Linked DNA regions of Kluyveromyces lactis. The protein of the gene in region 1 interacts with the protein of each later gene in a biochemical or structural test. Links are inferred from orthologs where the notes say so. Each region holds a gene or a part of one and is shown in the gene's direction. Other genes may lie near its edges. The genes, in order: KOG1 and TCO89.

Region 1 (3,934 bases):
TCCTTTTCAAACTCATACACAATTGCACCACCACTGTTGAAAGATTGAGCTTCAAGATATGGCAATTCCACTTGGTCTTTTGCCAGCTTCTGTTTCTCCGAAGTGTTCAAGTTGAATGTTGTTAAACCCTCAAACATTTCTGGACTTTCGTCCGTTACTGGTTCTTGTTTCTCTATCACATATTCATAATCATGTGTTTTCGAATTGATTAAGAACTTATTCTTGATAGCCCTACCGGACTTTCGCTTGTTCGTTAGAGTGATATAATATGTGGGATTGTTCAAGTTCTTGGGTATCACAAATCTACTTAAATCTGCATCCAAATCGTCCTCGTCTATGGAAGTCTTCGGAGTAACTTCTATAACCGTATTAGCAATAAATTGCAAGAGTTGGATCGCAGTTGGATAGTTCTGGAGTTCTGCTGGACGCCAGGCTGGTATCGACTGATGATATGTAGCCAATATTGTCACAAATGGCGATGCAATGGTAGATATGAATTGTGTCAAGCTTTCAGAACCGATATAATTGAATGTATCAAAGATCACTAAATGCATCTTAGGAGCTTGTTCCTGTGGCTGCGGTAGGTATGGTTGTAATGCTGCAACTAGTTGCTGGGTGGTTTTCCCCGACGCATCTATGAATTGGCGTGCATATTTCGGTCTATTTGGAGTCTCAAATGATACGAAAACGATCGGCATTTCGTCTGGTATGTTATCTAGGAATTCCTCAACCACAAATCGGCTGCTTTGTGCCATCGTATCGGTACATAGTATTAGCGAAGATTGTTCCTTCAGTGAGAACGTCCTCTTCAATAGAACTTTGGGATTATTATTAGTAGAAGCCATCTCAGAGAATAAAGAGCACGCAGTATATTCGTGATAGATCAGATACCCTGAAAGAATGCTGTAACAGTCGAAATAGATGAAAACAGGCTACTCATAAGTACTAGTTCCCCGCATGAACCTTGATCTTATCTCATCTCATCGCCTGTCAAAGTGAATATTTCACCAAGCATTTGGTATGTGAAATTGCATATTTATAACGTAGATCAAAATAAAAACACATAAAAGTATCCAATAACGGTCCCATTTAGTGCACTTGAAAGCGCAAACCAGTAAAAGTTAGATAAACTGTGGTTATTAAATATCTGGGTTACAATCGAGGGGGTATTGAAGTGGTTGATATAACTTTATTGGATATCTTCCCAACGTTACCCTGATATAAAATATTCGGGTAACAATATACTCAAAGTGTTTGCGTAAAAATACTGTAAGCTCATATACAGATACTGGTCAGTAAGTGTGGAATGATTGGAAAGATAAGGTTTTTGAAGAGCATTTAGTGGGTTTGAAGTCAATTTAGCGAGTCTTCATTGACTAGCAGTTAGGTAATTACTATTTGTACGATTTTCTGCGTTTAAATTTTGTCAGAATCGACCGGTACTGCCACTTTTATCAGAACCAGTTGTGAATAGAACCAATCCTGAAGCAATGGTTGTTTACGGCCCACAGCCTTTGACACGGCTTAATACTGAGACTAGACATGGGTTTGAAGAGCAGTATTCAAGTGAGAAACTCTTGGAGGCGCATGCTAGCAATTTTATATTTTATTACGATGATAAGAGGCATCGAACCAATGGGAATCCAGTTCCTGAGGAAGTGAAGCAAGAGGATAAGGATGGATATTACCAGCCAATTCCTGATTGGAAAATAGTTAAGGACAGGCAGAAGACAGTTGCAGCAGCATTATTACTATGTTTGAATTTGGGAGTGGATCCTCCTGATGTGACTAAGACTCAGCCATGTGCAAGACTTGAATCATGGGTTGATCCCCTTGCATTTCAGGATTCTAAGAAAGCTATTGAACAAATAGGAAAGAACTTACAGAGTCAATACGAGACGCTATCACTACGTACTCGTTATAAACAGAGCTTAGATCCCTGTGTGGAAGATGTGAAACGCTTCTGTAATTCATTGAGAAGGGCTTCGAAAGACGAAAGAATTCTGTTCCATTATAACGGTCATGGTGTACCACAACCAACACCATCTGGAGAAATCTGGGTTTTCAACCGTGGATATACTCAGTATATCCCGGTTTCATTATATGATTTACAAACTTGGCTAGGAGCCCCTTGTATATATGTCTGGGATTGCAATAGTGCTGGTAACATTGTATCCAACTTTAAAAAGTTTGTTCAAAAGAGATTGAGAGACGATAGAGAAGGCAATCATGATATGGCATCACCTTCACCTACAGAAGCATACACTGAATGTGTGCAATTAGCGTCATGTGCAAACAACGAATTATTGCCCATGAACCCTGAATTACCCGCAGATTTTTTCACCTGTTGTCTAACGAATCCAATAGAAATATCTGTTAAGGTGTTTCTAATGCAATCTCCTTTGAAAGACACCAAATATTCCGTGTTCTTCCAAGATAACGATCCTAGAAGAAAAGAGACGGGTGTGAATGAAATGCCTAACATTACGATACCGGGGAAATTGTCTGAGCGTAGGACTCCCCTTGGTGAATTGAATTGGATATTTACTGCTATTACAGATACCATTGCATGGACATCATTACCAAGAGCACTATTTAAGAAGCTATTCAGACATGACCTCATGGTCGCGGCATTATTTCGTAACTTTTTACTCGCCAAAAGAATAATGCCTTGGTACAATTGTCATCCAGTATCAGACCCAGAGTTACCAGACTCAATTGCTGATCATCCAATGTGGAGATCGTGGGATCTAGCAATCGACGAAGTATTGACCAAACTTCTGGAAAGTGCTCATGCTAATGCAAAGAATTCAAACTTCCCTGAATCACAGTTTATAAGCCAACCAAACGAAGGCAATGAAACCAATGACGGGCTGCAATCGAAAAATACTATTGGAAACCTGAGCTCCATGTCATTGGTAAACTTTAGTTCAACAGCACATACCTCCAGCGGTAATTCAGCCTCGCACCCGACTACCTCTCAACAACAACAGCAACAATTTACGAAATTTTTTGAGCAAAATTTAACCGCATTTGATTTATGGGTGAAATATGGGGCTAATTCAAGACATCCACCTGAGCAGCTCCCCATAGTACTACAGGTTCTCTTATCACAAGTCCATCGTGTTAGGACTTTGGTACTGCTATCTAGATTTCTTGATCTTGGACCATGGGCTGTATACCTATCACTTTCAATTGGGATATTCCCTTATGTTTCCAAACTGCTACAAAGTCCTGCCCATGAGTTGAAACCAATTCTAGTGTTCATTTGGGCTAGAATTTTTTCTATTGACTATAAAAATACCCAAACAGAACTTATAAAGGAGCGTGGATACCAATACTTTGTAAAGATGCTTGTACCTGAGTTTGGTGTCCCAAGAGGACATAGTGTCAGTAGTGCTGGAAGTCCCTTGACTATGAATGTACCTGCAAGTTCTTCAACACAGAGGTACCAGATGTATCAACAGCAGCAGCAGCAGCAAGCATATAATAACGCGACGTTATTATCTAACAATAATACTACAGATGAACAAAAGGCAATGGCAGCATTTGTCCTATCGTGCTTTGTTCGCGATTTCCCCCTTGGTCAAAAACACTGTTTCAGCACTGAATTAGTAAACAAGTTATGCTTCTTTATCGAAAATTCTGAAGTTCCGTTATTAAGACAGTGGTGTATCATTTTACTTGGTCAGTTATACATTCACAATCCATTGCATAAGACATTATGCCTCGAAAATGAAAATATGAATACAATCATAGAGTCTTTAAAAGATCCAATTCCAGAGATCAGATGTGCTGCGTTATTAGCAATCAAGTACTTCCTTTCTGAAGAAGACGATGTTAACATTATCTTGAAACTCCAACAAGAATTTCAGCAACAATTACAACAATTCCAAGCGCAGCTGCAGCTTTTGCAATCTCAACAAAACCAGCA
Region 2 (3,874 bases), on another chromosome or scaffold:
ATTTGTCTTAATTTCATACTCTAAATCCTTAGCTAACTTTTGACACAATTTGCTATCCGAGTCATACGCAATTGTCGGATTTAGTTTTAACGATAGTAGCAATGAGATTAACCCGTTAGACGTCTCCTGCAATCCCTTTGGATCCCATACCAATTGATTTTGGAGAAGATTGTACAACGGGATCTCTAAAGTGAAGACATCCTCGTTCACAATTAGGTAGTCTTGGAAAACTTCTTCTACATGTGTGACAACCTCCATATCATCTCTTTCGGCTAACCGTTCCAACTGGGACTTACTCACCTGGTTATTGAAGAAAATCTGGTATTCGCCATACTTGGGATCCTGTAATTCGTGTAATAGGTCTTGAATCGTATCCTCAGTGGGTTTCAAATAGCATAAACATTTCAAATGTGGCATTGGATCTCTGTGAATATTCTCAAGTTTATCGACCAAGTAAATCTCGTGCTTTAATAGCTCGGTTTGAGTAGTACACATCGATATCGTAGAGAGTGTGTCATTATCCAAAATCAATGCCTTTACTCTCGACTTCTCCTGTATCGAGGTGTCCGACGGTTTGGACTGGAAATTTGCGATTCTGCTGATATAATAATCACCAACCGTAAACAAATTCATTACGAAAAAGTGCTCTATCCTCTCAATTTCAAAAGAACTTGGATATCTTAATTGCTGATTCACCGTTGGCACGCGCTACAGCAGCCTTAATCTACCGTTTCTCACTGCTACTTTGTTCCATGCAAAAGTTTAAGGTCATTTCTCCTTTAATACTTATTTTCAAAAAGAGTTGAAACTAAGATTCTGGCACACATCAATCCATCTTTGTTTAACTACAAACAAACACAGGAACAACAATCTTGCTATAGCCTGTGATTCCAAACTTTACATTTAGGTGGGAAATAGCAATTTTTCCACAATTCTGTACAGTCAAGGTAATAATTCTTAAGTTGAGGCTACTGGCTATTCTTTACAACAATGGCCACAATTTCCCGTGTGAAGCCTGTGAAGACTAATTCAGATACCAGTCTATCACAGTATATGAAGCAGAAGAAAGGACATGGAAAACCTAAACAGTTCTCTGCAAAATCTAGGAGCAAGAGCAACACCAGTTTCAAGAACTTACAGAAATTACACAAGGTAGGAAGCCACGATGCATTGAATAGAGGACTTTTCGATCCTATGAAGAAATCGAAGAGTTCGGACTCATTGAACAGACGCACGGTACACAGTGGTCTCAGTATGACGGCATTGGTAAGAACATCATCTCATCCAGTTGTGCTACACCAGAATAGTCACAGCATGAAGCATAAGGGCCTAATTAGTGATAGGAACTCCAAGTCCGTCATCCTAGATCTTCACGATTCTGGGGATAACGATTCTATGACTGATGAAGAGGTAGAGTCTTTCACCGATATAGAAGGAGATGATGCATCAGATGATGAGACAATAAATGGAACGGGCAAAAATTCAACAACTCAGAGGAACTCGATGCATAGCATCAATGATTTTCAGGACAGAGCTGGGTTAAGAGTGGATTCTGGTAGACCTCTACAAAGGCCATTGAGCTATAAACCACCGTCACGGCTTAGAAACAGAGTTGATGCAGATGATGATCATATTTCATCAAGAGCTGTGAGCCCAATGGATAATGACAAAATTGACGCTCCTGACAGGGAAGATGACCTTATTGACCCTGGCAATCAGGACACTATATCGAACACGAATAGTCTAAGACGCCACAGGCAACATATGTTTGATTTCAATAATGGAAACGGTAATCTGCAGAAATCTTATAATGTGGAAACTACGGAGCATGAGGATATTATAGCAGCGAACACTGCCGTCGATGAAGGAGTGCGTCGTTATACTGAAGAAGATATTATTGACGGAATTACACATACAGCAACAAACGAAAAAGCAAATGAGGATATTGGTAGTGATGATCCTAAGCGATATTCATTCGCAAAAGCTGGCGCTGTAACTGATGAACAGTTTCCTGAGGATCCCCATAGTAATGACAGTTCCTCCTCCAGTAAGAATGGCAATATGATTCCTGATAGCAACAACACTGCTCTGAATGGTTCTAATATCGACTCTGAAACACAAGGAACGGAACAATACGTTCCTGATATGATTCTATCTCAGTCTACCGGAATGGAAAGAAGATTTGATCAATTATCTCGTCAGAGTTCGTTAGCATGGCTCGACCCAGCCGAAAATAATAACGATAAATCTCTCAAGATACAGAATACAAAATCCAATAAATTTAACTATATCAATCAAGATTTGGCAGCTTCGTTGAAAAATGACAATATTGATCAGCCATCTCCTCCGCGCCATCAAGAACAGCAGCCGAAACAATCGAAGGCCGACTTTTCTACAGCTATATCCAGTTTAACCAGTCATTTGACAAGGCCCGTTTCACGCGACCATCTTTTACGTGCGAACACTGTATCTCAGTCACGTCCACGGCAGCAATCACTCTATCGGCAACCATCGTACAGTGAGAATGATACCAGCGGTAATGGCATGACAGATTTCTCGTCATTTTTGCAATACGGAGACGTCGGAACTGACTCAAGAACACAACAAAAGTTATGGTTGCAAAGAGAAAATTCAATACAAGATCTAAGCAGTCAAAACACCTCTCCTGATGCAGTGTTCTTGGCCTCGAATGTGGAGGTGAGAAGAGAATTTGAAAGAATTTCTAGAGAATACACTAATGTTAGAAGATTCTCTAATCCGTTGGCAGATTCTTTGAGCAGAATATCGCAACAACAAAGTATTGAAATACAAAAACAAAAGAAAATTAGCACGGGTGAGAACGCAGGAAGCTTCTTCGGAGTCGATTACGACAAGGGTAAATCATCCAAGGAAACTAACTCAACTGCCAATAAGTTGGAAATGCAACGTATGCTCACCAAACTTTGGAACAGCAATACATTAGAATTTAATAAGGACGAAAATCCTCTAGTTCAATCAAATCCTGAACTCATGACAGTGCAGCACCCCGGTACCTATCGAAACACCCGTCCATCCCGGATGTCCAGTTCTCAACATCAAAGAGCAGTAAACTCGTTGCATCCCACTACTAGGGCAGTAAATAGAAGAATGGAGCATGTTTTGAACCAACAGCATGTGTAAACAGAAGTATATATGCATTCACAAGCATTTCGGATATGCACTCGACATATTGTAGTATTTTCATCATTCTCTAAGAAGTTTCACTTTAAGATATAAACTTTAAATGTAACTTTCAGAATAAAAAACAATAATCTTAATGAATTATTGAAGCTATTTATCAAAATATAAATCGAACATGAGGTATTAGGTTGTCAAATAGTATCTTGTCATTTTCCAGATAGCATATATTCCGCACATTTATAAACGTATTATTTAGAAGATTTTATATCACTACGTCAAATCGTGTCAGGAACTTTGAAGCCGAACTTTCTTCCTTCATCATAAATGTTCTCTAGATACATTTCAAATACACCCTTCTCCTTTAGCTCCAAATACTTTCTATAAAGTAACAACGCAGTATGTGCGTCTTCGATGGAGTCATGATTTCCTGTTTGCACCTGTTTTCTCAAAACCGCGAACGCCAAATAACGTAGAGAAAGATATCTTTTCCCTTTTAAATAATACAACGACGTGTCTCTAATTTGAGATTCTGGGACATATATATTGATCTGTCTGAAATCATTGGTTAATCCATGTCCTACAAAAACACATCCCAATTGAAGTAGTAACCACATTTTTCTGTAAAAGACTTGTCTTTTAACCAAACTTTTTTTACTCAGTTTTGGATCCAAGTCTCCTGGCTCGATACCACTGAATTGGGTTAGATAATCCTCGA

What was found.
Region 2: the proteins of KOG1 (region 1) and TCO89 form a complex in vitro, tested with the Saccharomyces cerevisiae proteins (2 studies listed by BioGRID). The link is inferred for Kluyveromyces lactis from reciprocal best matches to the Saccharomyces cerevisiae genes KOG1 and TCO89.

Annotation. Positions count from the first base shown.
Region 1 is NC_006037.1:829,341-833,274, reverse strand, and holds the start of KOG1 (ubiquitin-binding TORC1 subunit KOG1), read left to right. Parts: upstream 1-1,490; coding exon 1,491-3,934. Other genes in the region: Elongator subunit IKI1, read right to left, coding at 1-845. UniProt on the Saccharomyces cerevisiae protein: Component of TORC1, which regulates multiple cellular processes to control cell growth in response to environmental signals. Nutrient limitation and environmental stress signals cause inactivation of TORC1.
Region 2 is NC_006041.1:1,673,442-1,677,315, forward strand, and holds TCO89 (Tco89p), read left to right. Parts: upstream 1-990; coding exon 991-3,159; downstream 3,160-3,874. Other genes in the region: VPS45 (Vps45p), read right to left, coding at 1-633; PAN2 (poly(A)-specific ribonuclease), read right to left, coding at 3,435-3,874. UniProt on the Saccharomyces cerevisiae protein: Component of TORC1, which regulates multiple cellular processes to control cell growth in response to environmental signals. Nutrient limitation and environmental stress signals cause inactivation of TORC1.